Coturnix japonica: one gene and its partners. The protein of the gene in region 2 purifies or fractionates together with the protein of the main gene of each other region. This does not show direct contact. Links are inferred from orthologs where the notes say so. Each region holds a gene or a part of one and is shown on either strand. Other genes may lie near its edges.

Region 1 (4,662 bases), on a different chromosome or scaffold from region 2:
GATGTTGTTGAACCATCACACAAAGCAGAGTGAATGGAATTGGATTTCAGTATCTCACAGGATACTGGGACAGCCTATGTAAAATGAATGGTGGAAGTTCCTTGTGAGTTACCTGCTGCTGCTTAAAGGACAGCAGACGTTTGTTGTCTATGGAAATGGAAGTCACAGCTTGAAAGAGCTGCCTAAATGTGACCCAGCTTCACAGACCTGCGCCCTGTCCTGCGTGTATTTGGGATGTGAACTGGGTGTTTGATTCATTGATTCACTTGTTCAAAAGCCATCACAGACATGGGCCATTTCCACTCATTAACCACAGCGAGAGCACATTTGATAACAGTTCTAAGCACTCACTGAGCACCCTCAATGTGATCAATAGATTTTTCAGTTCCCAGTCACTATAGAGAGCAAAACCAAGCAAACCACAGCCCCCTCTCTGCAGTAAAATAACACAGAGTTCCCTGTTTACTGCTATATCCCGATCCACCCTGACCAAACGGGTCTACCATAAAGATCTCAGATGTGTTCACCACCATCCAAACAACCAGGGCCGTCTCAGTTCGGTGCCGCACACAACGTGGTGTTTCTGAAGGAGAACGCCAGTGCAAGCGTTTGTTTTATCTTACGTTTTTGATCTCCTGGCAATATCCTTTGCAAGCTGTGCACCCCGTTTGCCCTTGAACATTTTCTCTGCCTCCTGTCGCTCCTACAGCGATACCACACATACAAAGTTAATGGAAGGATGTAGCATTTCGCAGAGCTGCTCTTTGCAAAGAAAGATGCTTTGGCTCATCTTCAGTGAACATCAGCATGAGGAGCCCAGGACAAGCACAAACACATTGCACAAACACTCCAACTCGAGGTGTAGCACTTCAGTGCTCTTAGAAGCAACAGCCCCAAGCAGAGGGCTCTGCTCTGATCCCTCATTCCTTTCTCTACGTTCCCCTTATCACCACCAACACCGGCCAGCCAGAAAAGAATCAGACTAAACAAACAACAGCAGTGAAACATCAATTAAAAACAATAAAGCAGATTACATCCTTAACGGCGTGAAACCATCAAAGAGAAGCACCAGCTTTAAAGCCTCATAGGACAAACTGTTCCACTGCCATTTACAGCTGGGGCAAAAAGCTTTACTGATTTCACTACAGTTCTATGAGTTAATAGGAGAAAAGGTCTCCATCTGGTGTTCAATCCGAAGGTAACAGACTTACTTTGAGTTTCACTTTCTGAAAATCCAGCACTCTGACTTGGGGAACTTTGTAGATAACATATAATCTGTAATGCTTCTTATTTGTTACTGGGTTCCTTAAAATGCTACGAGGCAAATAAAGGTCACAAAGAGTTACTTCATGTATTGAATATATTGAAATATATCACAACAAGCCGCTGCTTTTCTTTTCAAGATTACCCACCTCAGGTAAGTCAATGTTTTAATACTTGATAATGGATCCAGTTCACCCTATATAATGGAAGAACAGAGTAAGAATCTTAAATCCATTTCACGACAATCAAATATTTCAGAATGAAGCTCCTGAAGAAGACGACTAATTAGAAAGAGGACAAAAACATTAGAGCTGTCAAGATTTATTCTGCATCACTAACTTACCAGTTCAGAAATGTTGTTGTTGGTAAGAACCAGCTCTGTGAGACTGGGCAGAGCTTGTTCAAGTCCTTCCCCAATCCGACTACAGAAGAATAAAAACACAAAGATTTTACCTTTGGCTGGAAATTAACAATGGTGGACACAGACACAGATATATTAAAAATCACGGAATCATTAAGGCTGGAGAGATCTCAGAGATCATTCAGCCCATCCCCACCATGCCCAATAAACCTGTCTGTGGCCAACACAGCTGAAAGCATTTTGGGCCACCTCTGTCCCCTCTCCATGGCTCTGGAACACCTACAGAGACAGCAACTCCAACCACCTCCCTGGGCAGCCATGCCAACATAGAGCACCTCACTTAAACACAGCCAAGTATGACAGCAGCAGAAGTTTGGGTGAGCATCAGCTTTGTAACAAAGCCAACATAAAACAGCAGCTGCCACTGTAAGGGCACCAGGTGCAGCAAGGTAGCTCTGTTCACTCAGCTGCAGGCACCCCTGTCTGTGCATCACTATGGGGGTAGTGAACAACCCCCAAGGACCCAACACAAACTCCAGGCCCTGCATCTCATTGTCCTGTATGAAAATGGAACACAGAGCTGGGGCAGAACTTTGCAATGAACAAAGCCGGCTAATTGAAGGCTGAAGCAAATACCAAGCGCTATTTCTTCCCCATAAAGCAGATATTTTTACACCTATCAGGTATTAAAAGACACGGGCACGCTTCTTTTCCCTTCTTCACTCTGCTCTGCCCCAGGTCCCGTCTGATCACAACACTGATCACAACACAACCACGTACCAAATCCTGTTGTTATTCATCAGAAGAGTTTTCAACCTTCTCAACAGAGGGAACCCATCCAATTTCCGAATCTCATTATCCGAGAAATCAATCGCATCGAACTGATCCAACGTAGCCCCTAAATTCTCAATGACGGGGATTTTATACCCTGTGGGGGGGAAAAGAAACGTGAGAAGGGAATAAAGCAGGATGGGATGGAGCTCTGGGGACACATGAAAGAGGCATTTAACACACAGAACGACCCCCCCCATTGCACGGCCCGTTCCCAGTGCAGGCCCCACGCCTCCCCTCAGCGCAGGCCCCACACAGGCCCGCTCCCGATCCCCCCCCACAAAGCCAGGCCCGGCTCCCTCCCGGCAGATCCATCTCACCCCGCAGGTCGAGCTCTCGGTCTCGCACGGCGTTGGTGTATTGAGCCGCCTGCTCGATCAGCTCCGCCGTCAGCTTCACCATCCCGCCCGGACACACAGGCCGCACCGAGCCCACAACGCGCCGCACGGCCGAGCGAGGCCGAACACAGCCGAGTACAGCCGAGAACAGCCGAGTACAGCCGAGAACAGCCGAACACAGCCGAATACAGCCGAGTACAACCGAACACAGCCGAACATAGCCGAACACAGCCGAACACAGCCGAACACAGCCGAGCACAGCCGAACACAGCCGAACACAGCCGAGCATAGCCGAGAGGAAGAGGGCCGTCCTCTTGCAGCCCCTCCTCCACAAAATGGCGGCCGGGAGGGGCTGTATAGAGGTGGCTTTTCTGAGCTGTCGAGCTGGAAGGAAAGCGCATAGAAATCAGAATCATGGAATCACAGCGTGGTTGGGTTAGAAGGGACAGCGCTGGGTGTTGTAGAGGGGAGCATCCATCGCTTGTCTTGGCAACCCGTGCCAGTGCATCATTGTAAATAAGAGCCAATTTAAATAAATAAAAAATAAATAAATAAAAGTTGTCCTTGTGCCCAATTCTGGTGTGGTCGCAGTTGAAGCGCTGCAGCACTTCGGTCAGCAGAGGGAACTGCTTCCCTGTGCACAGCCCAACACAGCTGGAGGCGTCTCAGAGCCACCTGAATGCGGACCTTCCTCCTATAGCACAACACACTGTATTGCTCAGCTCTAGGGGTTGTAATGGGGTTGTAACAGAGCAGTTCTTGGTTTCAGATGCTGTACACGAGCTCTGGAAAGCTCCTTTGTACTGGAAAGTCCAAGTGGTGGTTTTTAAGATTGCTGTGGATGCAGCCTCACAGCCAAACTGCGAGCGGGGCTTCAGGCTGCACTAAGATCCAGCTGTTAGAGTTGAGTTGTTGGTGCCAAGAGACAATGAAGAAATGTGCTTTAATAAATTGTATTCGTTTATCTGGTAGAGGCACACTTTGATCCTCTGTGCATACCAGCGGCTGAGAGGCTTTAATAGCTCCAAGCAATAGCTTAGATAAATAATCTGAATGTTATTGCTTTCCAGGAATGATTTCTGAGGGAGTCGGAGCCCTGGGAAACACTGGGAGCTGATGTCGTTGTATGAACTCGACACGGAGGATTTGTTTCTCTTTCCCTGTGGGCTGGAAGGCAGCAGAAAGCACAGACTGCTGGGGATTGGTCATCTTCAATTGCACTACCTCAGCCAGGCTGTGCTTTCATAGTTTGTGCCAAGGATAAGGGTAAATTCAGCATTTCAGTGCATCTAAATATACCACGGCAGAGCTGAGTGCCAGAGCTGACACGGTGCTCCCGGCTGGGACTGGGACATGACAACAGCAATGGAAGTTTGTTATTTGATGAGCAAAGTGGCAGAAGCCAGAAGCATTTCGCCCCATTTCTGACCTCTGGTTTGGCCCGAGAACAACAGGGGGATCCCAGAGCAGCAGAAGGAATCAGTGTGTGATAAATCATCTGGCTCAGTCCCACTGATCCTCTGATACTTGTGAAAAGCTGTGAGATGCACGAGCCCACAGCAGCACAGCTCTGAGGAAACATCCTCTTTCAGACTCTGTGATCATTGTGGATCCCTTCCAACTCGGGGTGTTCTATAAGCCCCTCACGGGAGGGCTCAGTTTTTCCCTTTTTAAAGCTCAGAACCAGATACCCAAGCACTACCCTGGGCAGTTAATCGCTGCAAAACAAACACAACAGCAGGCTCCAGAGCTCCCTCTGCTCCCAGCCAAGGAGGGCTGGGTGTGAGCTGCAGTGTGGGCAGCAGGGCTGTGGGATGCTCAGAGTATGGATGGGAAAAGGGCAGCGAGCCCCCAACCAACACAGCCGAG
Region 2 (2,966 bases):
CATTTAGATCCACAACAGCTATAATTGCAACAAAAAAAGAGGTCAGCAAGCAGCAAATCAGCGACTAAAAATCTGAGTCCAATGAGCGAGACTGTTTAATCTCTTTGAAGAAATGAACTCTGAAATTCATATGACACAGTTTAATAACCTACCTTTAATTGCAGACTCAACCCGTTCAAATTCCAAAAATATTCTTACAGCTTCATCATCAGGGGCACCAGGAATCTGAAAGAAAACCCAAAAACAAAACAAACCCCAGCAGGTCTGATTAGAACAGTAACAAAACCACTGCATCACGCAGCACTTCTTCACAAAAGCAGAATGTAAAATTAAGCCAATGTAATTCAATTCTTCAGTTGCCAAAGGGAGGTTGAAGACTGCTGAACTTGGGTCCTGTTTCTCTATGGAAACCTTTTGAATCAGCTAGGGTGAAAAGTTTCAGTAATCGAAACTTAGAAGCATCTCAAAGTGAAAGATTAATTTAGCAGGAGGAACTAGAAAAAGTTCCAAAACACTCCAGGATTTTGCTATTTCTGACATTCAGAGTTCACGCTTCACAAATATTGGAAACATTGGAATCGCAACACAACAAAGGACCCTTTGAAATCCTTTAATCTATGCTGCTCCTTCACAGCAGTAGTGTGCAAGTCATGAAAGACAAATGGCCAGTTCAACCTTTGGAGTAACCAGAACAAGAGAAAAAGATTCTGTCTTACCTCAAAGATGACACATTTCCCAACCTTGCCATATTTTTCACATTCTTCCTTAGTTTCAACTTCCAGATCTTCATCCACCTCACCAGCACCCACCATATTCTGAAAGTTTAAACAATAAACATAAGTCATTGGATGCAGCCTGAATAGACAATCATGTAGATAAATCACGGATGCATGCAACGGTGACTATGAATAATTTAAGCTATTGTTTACCAGGTCAAGAACCATTTGGTCACATTCCAGAGCCTAGACAGTTCCCTAATACTAAGACACTGTGACATGGTCCCTGCACAATCTAAATCGGTGTTGATTTACAATTACAAATTGTATGTTTTCCTGTGATAGATTTTCTCCACAACACACAGAGCACCATGTAGGTGCAGTTCAGAACTGTCTGAACTGTACAGAGTCACTGTAACAGGAATGCAGGTTTTAGCGCTTAAATCAGTTGTGAGTGCTGGAAATACCAAGACACAGCTTTAATCACAACTTACCCTTAGTAGGACCACTTTAGTTGGGCATTTCAGTATCTCAGTCAGTGGATTAGAATCTGCTTTCTTGGTTGCATCTGCTAGGAAGAGAAAAAAAGTTAATCATGGAATCATTTTAGACTAATGCTCATATGAAGGCTTTTATCAGAATCTTACTGTTAGCAAACAGTGAAATAAAAACCACTAAGTATAGTTTAGTACTGGTGAGGAAGAGTATTTCAGATCTTGCAGCTACTTGGAAGGTCAATATGCAGAAAAATCGCTGCTACAAAGACCATAGACAATGTCTTATTTCCTTGAGGGAAATCATTCATGAGTTGAAAACTGCATCAGATGCACTAAGAATTAAAAAACAGATCTCCTGACTTCCAGCACTTGAGTTCAGAATTGTGCTGTTCTACTAAGTGGAGATGCTGTTTCTAGACCAAACAACAGCAGGGAAATGAAGGCATTATCTAACACACATGATGGGGGAAAAAAGCCAGCAGGAGTGCAGCAGGATCACTCACTGAAGTGAATGTACAGGTAGAAGGTTTCAAACACTAAAGAAGGACAGCTTCAGGGGGAGGATGAGTTAAAATAATAGAAGACCACTTCAATAAAATGTCGTGAAGGTAAGTTCCCACAAGAAGGAGAACCTTGTTCCAACTAAGTAGTATTTTCTGCTAGAACCAAGGGCTAACAGAAATCCAGGATCTCCCACTGACTACAGACTGTTATTTCCCACAATCATTTTTCACAGTTATTGGTGCAGGACAAGATTACCTTTTTCTGTAGCATCACCAACAATGATCTTGCCACCCCTCTTGCTTGTTTTCTCTACAGAGAGTGCTGTGCTCAGCCCCTGTTCATGCTTTCCCAGGCCTTGACCCTCTCTGAAACCATACTTCTGCATGATTTTATGAGCTACTGTCCCTCTGCAAAAAGAAAAAAACCATCAGTTAGTAAAGGTTTCTTACAATAACATCATCATTTCATTTCTCCAGAGCGTGCAAGTACTCAAAAGTTGCTCACACTTTTCCAAACACATTCAAAGTTCTAGTAGCAAAGCAAGTCACACATCATGCCAAAGTTCATTTAGTCCAGTTTCTGACCTTTTGTCAGTGGCTGGCTTCAAAAGTCTGAGAGAAAAGGCAGATGTGGAACCATCTGCTTCCCCCATTAGATCACATTATACTACCTACTGTTTTGATGTCTGCATAAGATCCAAAGCACGTGGTTTTGTTAGCACTTCCTATAACAAACCTGGATATTCTCAGTATTAATTAACATGGCTCTTCTTTCTGGATTTTCAAGAGTTTACTAATGTAACAATTCTCTAATCTATTAAAAGTACCATCTTTGTTGGCATTTCTTTGGAGCACATAGCTGGATAGACCAAGGCATCAAAGAAATGTCATGGTACAGTAATTTACACCACAGTAAATAATGTACACTAAGTCACTTCCATTCTACCAAGAGGCATTTAAGATAACACAGAAAACATTGGATCAGCGACTACATGACACATACAAAGGCCTGGCTTTGTAATGCTTGAAAACTGAAACACTAAGCCACAGAATAAACAGTAGTCAATTGTACAGGCAAAATATAACAGCAACTCCTTCAATGAAGTGAAGGTTCCAGGGCAGTGCTCAATAGAGGAGGTAGCAATACATAAATGAGTCCACCAGTACTACTTCAGTTCCACGGGTCTTTTTGTTTTGTTGTTTTACATTGCTTAGAAAAATGATGTTTCTATTGAAAAATGGATTGAAAA
Region 3 (4,764 bases), on a different chromosome or scaffold from region 2:
GAACCATGCAGCGAAATAACAGAAAAGATTAAAAGCAAGCAAACCTTTAAAAAGACTACTTCCAAATAAGAGTTCTCTTCAAACTCCACCTTTGTGACATGCAGCTACGCATCTTGCTATTAAGCTTAACCTCAACAATGATTTAACACAGACAACTCAAGGGAAATCCAGCACAAATACAAATGCATTGACACTGAATTCACAGCTGCTCACCGGCCAGCCAGGGAATGTCCCATTTTCCCACTTCTTCTCAAACTCGGTCTGAATTTTCCCAAAGAGCTCATTCTGGTCCAGTAATGGTTTCACACGATCTGTGTACTCCTGTAGGTACTCCAGAAGCATTTCAAGATACCTGGCAAAGTAATTATCAGCACAGACAATTCCATATCAAAGTACTGATATAACAAAGTTACCGAGATTAGAACAGATTTCAATACAGCAAACTAAAGTACTGCCTCAAAATTAGAAGCCCAACGGCTTCCCACGTTTTGTTGTGCTTCACGTCCTCTCAGGGCTCAAGGGATTTATGACCGAGTTAATACAGCTCAGTGACCCAATCTCTGTCACCTCTGCTTGATTACTAACTCTGCTCCTGGACACTTGAGAAGCAAATTCCTTCTCATCAACTACTTTCATGAATGAAGCAGGCAGGAAAAAGACTCACCTCTTATATTCAGCGTTTTTTCTCTCTTTGGGGATGTCAAAGAGTTGGTCAAATGTAGACAGATAAGTGATGTAATCCAGTTTCTAAGAATGAAAGGAAGTTTGATTCAGACTTTAGATACACACAGCATATCAGCAACCAATTTCCAGTCACCAGACTAGAAGAAAAGCACAAAGCTCATGCCTTTATTCTGCATGGTCTGCACAGGGCTGGGGTTTACAGTGTGCTTTCTAACACAATGCAAAACAAGCACCATAAAACAGCTATTTGGAAATAAATGACATTTAAAACAGACCACTGAGCCCTCAGCACTGAAGTGCAATACAACAGAGTGCCCACACTACTGCAACCACTTACCTCTGATGATTTCAGATTAATGTATTTGAGATAGCAATCATGCAGATCTAAGTATCTTCCATACCCTTCTTCATCTGTGAACTCCACCAGGTCTGCAGGAAAGAGCACGCAGGGCTTTGTTACAAACTCAACATCCTCTGCTTGTTATATGCATGCTTTAGAAGCTGAACTGCAGACTAGTTTATCTTTCTTAAGCATGTTTATAATGCAAATGGATACTCATCGACTAGATGGCCACCAGCTTCCTAGTGTTATATCAGACCATCCCCCAAAAGAACCATCTCAACAGTGGAATATTTCAGGGTGGCTGCAGCCCAGAAGAATTTAAATGAAATTAAAACAGTTGTTATGGTTAATGTAGGGAAAGGGAGGTGGAAATCAAAGCAGAACAGACAGGTCACTAAATCACGGCAAGCAATGTGTTCTCAACTAAACAAACCTCAAACAAGAAACAAACAAAACCCTGAAGACTTACTTTGAGCTTCTTCACTTGGGTTGTCTCTGGCCTTCAACAGTTCCTCAAACTCCACTGACATTGGAACACAAATCTTCAGGAACAGAAGAAGTTATAGAAAAAGGGATTAGTTCAGCTAATGCCCAGGAGTAATTAATACAGACTGCAAACAGTAAAACAAGTAACTGAAGAGGTGTTTCAAGCACTTCTTCATGATTATATTTGCACTAAAGACAGCATTAGGCAGGCAAGAATGAATGCTAGCTCAGAAGCAGAATGCTCTTAAACTAATAGAGAGTGTGGAGGACATGGTGAGCATCCTGCATTTTCTCCTACTCAGACAGAGGCTCATATAAAGTCTCAAAGCATCACCTATTTCTAGACACTTTGTTTTCCTGAATGACATTTTAATACAGCAGAGATGAAGCCCAACACACCACAAACCAGTTATCCTTATGGAGCTGCTGCTTACCTCATTGGGATGCTTGCGGTGGAACTCTTTTATTTGTTTCAGTCTGTTATAGAATTCAGCAAATTCATTTGGCCCTGAAATGGCACTGAGCTCCTCCTTCCGTAAGCTACAGGTTCATAAAAAGAAGACAGGTTGCATATAGAAAACACGTTTATGTTGGTTTATATTGGTATAATGTTTGGAAGTCTAACACTGCATTCTGCTCCCACAAAACACCAGTGAGACTGAAATCACAGCCCCACCATATGGGGACAATAATGAAAAGATGGTAGTAAATAACCAAAAGGTTATTTACAAGTTAAGCTCACCCATATGGAAGCCTTAGATCTGCTGGGAACCACTGAAGTGATCACTACCAAGCAGCAATCACCAAGAGATGCTGCATTAGTGGTGGTCAGCCCTTCAATGAGGTCTAGAGGAGGTGAAGTCAAGCTCCACCCCTTTATGGGGAACAGCTAAATTACTCTCACCTGTGCTCCCACAGCTGACCCAACACTTGGCTCAGCTGATTAATCAGAGGTTCAGGCTGTGATTACCAATCTCCCATACACCCACTGATGTTCCACATGCAGCCAGGATTGTGCTTTGAGGATCAGGGTCACATCTCTATTGCAAACGCTGCAGTCTCAGTTAGAGACCGTCTCCCTCAATGATTCAATACCAGAGGGTCTGGTACAGCTGGTGGGGTTGGGTGAGAGGAGGTAGGAGTGTGGTGGGGGATCAGCTCCACCCCCATATGGGGATAGGAAGGGGGACAGGGCTGTAGTACTGCTCTGTGCTTTCTGCTTGAGAAGTGTTTGTGTTGCATGTTTCATGTGAAATCTGGGTCCTCCTCTTTAGGGCAGACCCCCAGCTTTGCATTGTAGCATCATGTCTGTGGTGTATAAAGCAGATCCAAGGCAGCCCCATGTCCATTCCAGCCCGCTATACACTCACCCATCCTTATCGTCATACAGGTCCCTCAGGTTGCTGCTCACTTCCATGTACCTCTAAAACACAACACAAACCTCACGTTGACACAAAGAACCTCAACCAAACCGGGGCCAATCTGGGCCCTGCACCTCCACAGCTACCCGAACCACCCCCAGCCCCACTCACACCCCGACCCCACTCACATCCTGCATAGCCCGAGTCCTGTGGTCGGAGTTGATCTGATCGCGGAGCTGCATAGAAATAAACGGCGTTAATAATGAAGGCCTGAGCCCGGCCTACCCCCCCCACACCCCCCCCCCCTCTCCCCGGGCACACACCCCCTGTGTCCCCCCACTCCCATCCCCGGGCTCACCGTGGATTTCTTAGTGAGCATCTCCTTCACCATGACGTCCATCAGCCGCTCTCGTTCCTCATGGTAGCGCCGCTGCTGCTCAAGGATCGTCTCCATCTTCTCCCCTTCCAGCCCGGAACCAGAAGCTCGCTGTGTAACACCGGAAGGGTCCGGCCCCTTCCCTGAGCCGCTTGATCCGGATTGAATGTGGTTCCGCGTTGATTTTAGCCCATGTGAAGGTGTAGAGCAGTGAGATCCACTGGCCGCCACAAGCCAGTTATCCCAGTTATCCCAGAAAAGTGGGAACTTTTCTGACACCTCTCGCTTCAAACCCATAAAGTCGTAAGGATTGAGAGCACTGCAGGTGCCCCCAGGCTGGGGTGAAAGCCTCCAGCTTCAATGTGGCTGTGGGCAGCGTTATACAGCCATGAATCACAGCCCAAGCAGAATAAAACATGTCCAGTCCGGTGCTGCCTCCTTCCTGCCTGCCTTGGGGTTACAGATGTTGCTCCTGGGATGAACAGACGTTGTGCTTAATGGGCTTTGGACATCACGGCTGAAGGATGTCAGGACTTAGGGGAAATGGTTTTAAGTTAAAAGAGGGAAGATTTAGGTTGGATGTTAGGGGGAAGTTCTTCACTAGGAAAGTGGTTAGGTCCTGGAACAGGCTGCCCAGGGAGGTTGTGGATGCCCCGTCCTTGGAGGTGTTCAAGGCCAGGTTGGACGGGGCCATGGGCAACCTGATCTATGGGGTCTCTATGGGGTCTCTATGGGGATCTATGGGGTCTATGGGGTCTCTATGGGGATCTATGGGGTCTCTATGGGGATCTATGGGGTCTCTATGGTCTCTATGGGGATCTATGGGGTCTCCTGGGCAACCTGAACTAGTAAATGTGTATGTTTGGTGGCCCTGCTAGGCAGGGGGGTTGGAACTACATGATCCTTGAGTATATTGAGGAATAAAGCTGTCTCTGTGAGTTCTGCGGCCTCCCCACCTTTTTGGACCTTAGCTGAGGGTCTGGAAGAAGGGATAACAGCAGGAGGAGCATTCAGGATGCCTGAAGGGCTCAGCCACATCCCTAACCTCACGTAACAGAGGCAAAGGAGAAAGTTCACCTTCAGCTCTGGTTCCCCACTACCCCAGGCAGTATGGACAGTAGTGGACCCGGGCTTGTTAGCACACACAGGTCCAAGTCCAAGCCTTCAGCTGCACCTGGTCTCCAGACCCATCCCTGCAGGGCTGCAGGAGCTGCTGGGGCAGGTTTATGTTGGGTTTAAGAGCTCAGAAGAGGCTGTGCTGGAGCCATGACCTGACGCTGCATGTAGATGCCTGCAGCTGGGAAATGGGTGACCTCCAGCAGGGAGCTGAAAAGAATGTTTGGAAAGAGAGAGCCCTCAACCACAGGGCAGCGAGGGATGCCCACAGTGAGCCCCAAAAGCATGTGGCAGGAGCCACCGTGTCCCTCTGTAGGGTGGCTTTTCAAGCTCAGTGTGTGGTTAATGCTGGGCTCACAGTGAAGGCTCTGCTCGCCTGGCTGCGTGCTGAGGAGTAT
Region 4 (4,216 bases), on a different chromosome or scaffold from region 2:
CAGTCCTGGACCAGGGGGAGCTTGGCTGGGGTTTAACTAGGATCAAAGTGCTAACTAACTAGAGAATTGTGCAAAATGGAAACCCTTAAATATGCCAGACATGTCAGAGGAACCATCGGCCCTTTTAACCACTGCTAAATCACAGCTGTTGTAATGAATTACATGTCATAGCTTTCCATTTTTCACCATATTTTAAAAGTAACTCATTTTTGTCACTTCCTCCAGACTCTCATCCGCATTTATACAAGTTTAATGTTTTGTAGAAGATGCAAGACATCTTTCTTCAGAGAGTCTTATTCAGGTGGTGGAGGGTCTTGCGTTTCACGCTTCACTGAAACAATAGGGAAAAGAGCACTTACACATTTCAGACAGCTTAGGTAACTGCAGAATGCTTCATGGAATGAGGGCTCTGTTAATAACAATCGTTTTCCTTTGTGCCTTTGTTTGAATCCATTTGATTACGCAGATCTACTGCAGCCATAGGCAGAAGTGACTTTTCATCTGGCATGCCAATTTTTCCCTTCTAATCACTGCTAAAATTCATGGTTTGGGTGTTTTCATCTCCTAAGAAGCATCTCTATTTTTTCTGCACCCTACCTGAAACTGCATACAGTGACTTTATCACCAGTTCTGGGGTTGACAGAACACAGCACTCATTGCAGGAGCTGGGCAGGGCCAAAAAGTGAGTGTGGGACAACTTCCCTCCAACCACACCCTTCCTGCTCTGGCAGCCATCCATCCCTGGCATGGCCCCCTCCACTACCTTTGTGACCGATCTTGTTGTTTAAAGGATAACATTTAAAGACAGAGACTACTGCTACAGGCAGGATGTGGCTTACACAGAACACGCTAATTAATTAACATTTCAGAAATCAGAATACAGCACAATCCCAAGAAGTAGAAGACATAGGGTTAATCAGTGTGTTCACTTACCTGTCGTTTATTTTACCCATTACATTAGAAAGAATTAAGAGTTAATTTGATTTTGAGTTTACATTCTACCGTAAAACTCCTTAAATAAGGTAAAATCACAAACAACATGAGCAGTTTTTTGAACATCTACTTACATTCATCCCTAGCCTTCATACGTGCGATAAATGAGTAACTTTTATTTCTTCTGTAGTTCTCATACGGGTCATCTAATGCAACTCCCACTCCTTTATATTGATCCCATTTGTCTCGAATATCTCCTCCTTTAATTGGGTCCTGAATTCCTTGTTCCTTGGCTCCCAATCCACCAGACCCACTCCATCCTGTACAAAGTACACGACACTGTAACTTGTAACCATTGCAACACTAGAATTGCGAACAGACATCCTGGAAATAATGAATAGAACTGCCAGTTCAATGTGGCAGGGTAGTAACAGTCTGAAACAACGTATGAACTGTCCCATCTACTTCAAAAGCAGCAATTCTGGGAGCTGAACAGCATCAGCTCAATCCCTAAAAGCTTTCTAAGAGGACAAGCACAAGGCCAACCTGTCCTGTCAGTCCTGCTGATGCTGATCTGTGCTATAAGGAGATGAAACGTGCCAGGTAGTTAAATTCTATTTCATGCTAAGCTCACATCCCTCTCATCCGCATCCTTCTCATGTTTCATGCTCTCTGTATTACATCTCTGAATATCCTTATTCTCACCTTAGAATACCAAGGTGCTGTAAGGGACAATAATTAAGATTTGCAAAGATTAACTGGATGCAGGAGCTGCTCGCCCCATTTTGTTTGCTGGCTTATGGCAGATTCAAGAACAGCGCCTTACCCATTTTCACAAGCATCTGATGGCCTTTATTTTCCTCTCCAAGTCTTGATTCTGGAACAGGAGGTCCAGAACTGGAACCTAAGCCAGCAGAAGAGCTAAGGAAATAAGAAGATGAAATTAAGAACAAGCAATAACTGTTCTGACCCAGTGCAAAGTCATTTATGTTCTGTTAAACATTAACACCCAGTGTAACCTTGTCTGCTCTACTAAGAAATTCTTTTATAAAGCTGTAAACTTACAAAGGTAAAAAGAGAAACAAACAAAAGCTTACGGAGGGGTGGGGCTACGAGAGCGAGACCGGCGCCGCCTGCCTGGAGAGTAAGACTTGGATCTTGATCGTGACCGTGATCGTGAACGGCTGTGAGAAGAGCGGGACCTGCTCCGGCTTCTAGAAAGAGACAGCACAAACCCATCAGTCACACAGCACACCAGAGCAATGCCCAGGGTTCCACGCTCAGCCCTGCAGGTCGTTCCCCCACCTCCACCTCTGAGTTCCGCACTCTACCTGGACTGAGAGCGTGAATAGGATCGGGACCGAGAGCAGGAGCGAGATCGGGACCTTGAGTAGGAGCCAGATGACTTTGAAGATCGTGAATTGGAGCGGGAGGAGGAGCGACCTCGGCTTTTAGACCGACTGCGAGACCGAGAAGGGCCACTGCACAGACAGAAGCAGAAAAACTCCTGTGAAACTCCTTGGAGATGCTTGAGCATCTCAATGTAACTGTGCTTTTGATCAAACTGAAATCACACACACAGCATTTCTGCAAACAAGCCCAACAAAACTCGAGTGCAAAAAAGAAATTTTCTATGGATTACACCAATTAAAACTCAGTTAAATCCAGTAACATATTGCTGAACTGTTTCCCTACAACAGTGCAAGGCAGTCCTAGCACCTTCCAAACAAACAGCACGCACAGAAGGCAGCAGACAAGGTCTCTCACCTATTTCTCTTCTCCTGACCTTTCCTCCGCCTTGCTCTCATTTTAGCTCTGAAGAATTCATACAGTCCATTCTGCTCCCAGCCTTCACTGCAATAAATCAACCACACATAGAACAGACATCTGTAAAACTCAATCATGATCAACAGAGGATTTCCGCTCAATGTGGTAGGGAACAAAGAGCCTGGGCACCAAGGTCTTGCAACATCTCAGTGTAAGATCAAACGGTTTAAAATACAACAAGAGCACTTGTTCTTAGCATTAGAAGAACCAAGACATGGGTGAAGGAAGAGAGAACCACTTCTTGGTTTGAGACAGCTCCTTAGGGCATTTTCCTTACCATATTGTTAGCTATACCTACTCTTACCTGTTTCTAGGCCTGTCATGAGATGGTGGACTATAAAATGCCTCAACCGCAGCCAGTAGTCTCTCACTGGGGGGCATTGGGGGTGGAAGACGTATATCTTTAGGATCTAAAGGTTTATACTCATGATCTTCAAGCTGCCGGAAACAAAACAAATTACATTCTTGTCATGTGTCATGGGGTGGCCAATCTGAAGAGATAAATATAAATTTAACCTTGTAGGGACCTCACAGTTCACTATTGGATAAAAATGCTCCAGTAATAAGGATTCTGCAGATGACCCAAAGCTTTCTTGTGCTATCACCATCATTTTGAGATAAGCCAGTAAATACACATACTGAGACATTAACTGGACCACCAGGTAGATCAATTGCAGGTGTTACCTATCCAGCTCTGTGATAATAGTGCCTGGATTGGAAACCTGGTAAAAACCGGTGCGTGCTGAGGGTAACAGAAAGTTAAGATGGAATAGACCTGTTTGTTCATCTCAAGCACAGAATGCATACATGCATATATCCCCCAAGATGTTGATACAGATACGTATCCCTACCATTCGTTGTTTGTGTGTACAACATTAGTGTCACAAAACATCTATGTAAGAAAGAACTCCAAATACCAAGACTAGCGTACAGTGGCCCCACCAGAACCGCCAGTTCCCTCTGCCTATATGGAAATCACTGGAGGTAACACCGTCAAAAGCACATCAGTCTTTCACGTATACAGGCTTAACTGGCTTTCACTAGAACACAACACTTCAGATTCTCACCATTTACACTACCTTCCCCGTCTGCTGGATGGAGAGATGTGAAATCATAAGCGTCCGTGTTAAACTGCCTGTAACGCTGACTATGGGATTTTGATGGAGTCTGGGCCCATCCCAAGCACTTACTTTTACAAGTGGAGCCATCAGTCCAGCAGGAAGATCAAAATAGGGAACATTTGGCACCAGACTGGGATCATCGTGGTTCATGTGAGGGGGGCCTTGTCGCCGCATGTGAGGAGGCTGCCCATTAAATCCATGTGGGGGAGGCCCAAAATCAGGGTGCTGCGGCCCTCCCCAGGGAGGATGCTCGCTGATTCCAGGATGAGGCAATCTGTGCCCAGGGTGATGATGAGGAGGTCCAATTTCTGCACAGAGTGGAAGGGTTAAAACAT

The links.
Region 1: the proteins of RBM17 (region 2) and SNRPA1 purify together in Homo sapiens (affinity purification with mass spectrometry; 5 studies listed by BioGRID and IntAct, with this or other methods). This does not show direct contact. The link is inferred for Coturnix japonica from reciprocal best matches to the Homo sapiens genes RBM17 and SNRPA1.
Region 3: the proteins of RBM17 (region 2) and SF3A3 purify together in Homo sapiens (affinity purification with mass spectrometry; 4 studies listed by BioGRID and IntAct, counting the BioPlex papers as one, with this or other methods). This does not show direct contact. The link is inferred for Coturnix japonica from reciprocal best matches to the Homo sapiens genes RBM17 and SF3A3.
Region 4: the proteins of RBM17 (region 2) and CHERP purify together in Homo sapiens (co-immunoprecipitation; 4 studies listed by BioGRID and IntAct, counting the BioPlex papers as one, with this or other methods). This does not show direct contact. The link is inferred for Coturnix japonica from reciprocal best matches to the Homo sapiens genes RBM17 and CHERP.

The regions. Positions count from the first base shown.
Region 1 is NC_029525.1:15,973,555-15,978,216, forward strand, and holds the start of SNRPA1 (U2 small nuclear ribonucleoprotein A'), read right to left. Parts: upstream 2,957-4,662; 5' UTR 2,858-2,956; coding exon 2,776-2,857; intron 2,553-2,775; coding exon 2,405-2,552; intron 1,686-2,404; coding exon 1,607-1,685; intron 1,460-1,606; coding exon 1,413-1,459; intron 1,315-1,412; coding exon 1,212-1,314; intron 704-1,211; coding exon 624-703; intron 1-623. UniProt on the Homo sapiens protein: Involved in pre-mRNA splicing as component of the spliceosome. Associated with sn-RNP U2, where it contributes to the binding of stem loop IV of U2 snRNA.
Region 2 is NC_029516.1:3,129,420-3,132,385, reverse strand, and holds part of RBM17 (splicing factor 45), read right to left. Parts: intron 2,125-2,966; coding exon 1,973-2,124; intron 1,288-1,972; coding exon 1,211-1,287; intron 816-1,210; coding exon 717-815; intron 226-716; coding exon 153-225; intron 19-152; coding exon 1-18. UniProt on the Homo sapiens protein: Splice factor that binds to the single-stranded 3'AG at the exon/intron border and promotes its utilization in the second catalytic step. Involved in the regulation of alternative splicing and the utilization of cryptic splice sites.
Region 3 is NC_029538.1:3,123,857-3,128,620, reverse strand, and holds the start of SF3A3 (splicing factor 3A subunit 3), read right to left. Parts: upstream 3,376-4,764; 5' UTR 3,329-3,375; coding exon 3,233-3,328; intron 3,111-3,232; coding exon 3,063-3,110; intron 2,937-3,062; coding exon 2,884-2,936; intron 2,054-2,883; coding exon 1,948-2,053; intron 1,570-1,947; coding exon 1,497-1,569; intron 1,114-1,496; coding exon 1,022-1,113; intron 748-1,021; coding exon 665-747; intron 353-664; coding exon 214-352; intron 1-213. UniProt on the Homo sapiens protein: Component of the 17S U2 SnRNP complex of the spliceosome, a large ribonucleoprotein complex that removes introns from transcribed pre-mRNAs.
Region 4 is NC_029543.1:3,379,774-3,383,989, reverse strand, and holds part of CHERP (calcium homeostasis endoplasmic reticulum protein), read right to left. Parts: intron 4,190-4,216; coding exon 3,951-4,189; intron 3,199-3,950; coding exon 3,065-3,198; intron 2,788-3,064; coding exon 2,701-2,787; intron 2,415-2,700; coding exon 2,265-2,414; intron 2,148-2,264; coding exon 2,031-2,147; intron 1,855-2,030; coding exon 1,760-1,854; intron 1,254-1,759; coding exon 1,068-1,253; intron 332-1,067; coding exon 294-331; 3' UTR 1-293. UniProt on the Homo sapiens protein: Involved in calcium homeostasis, growth and proliferation.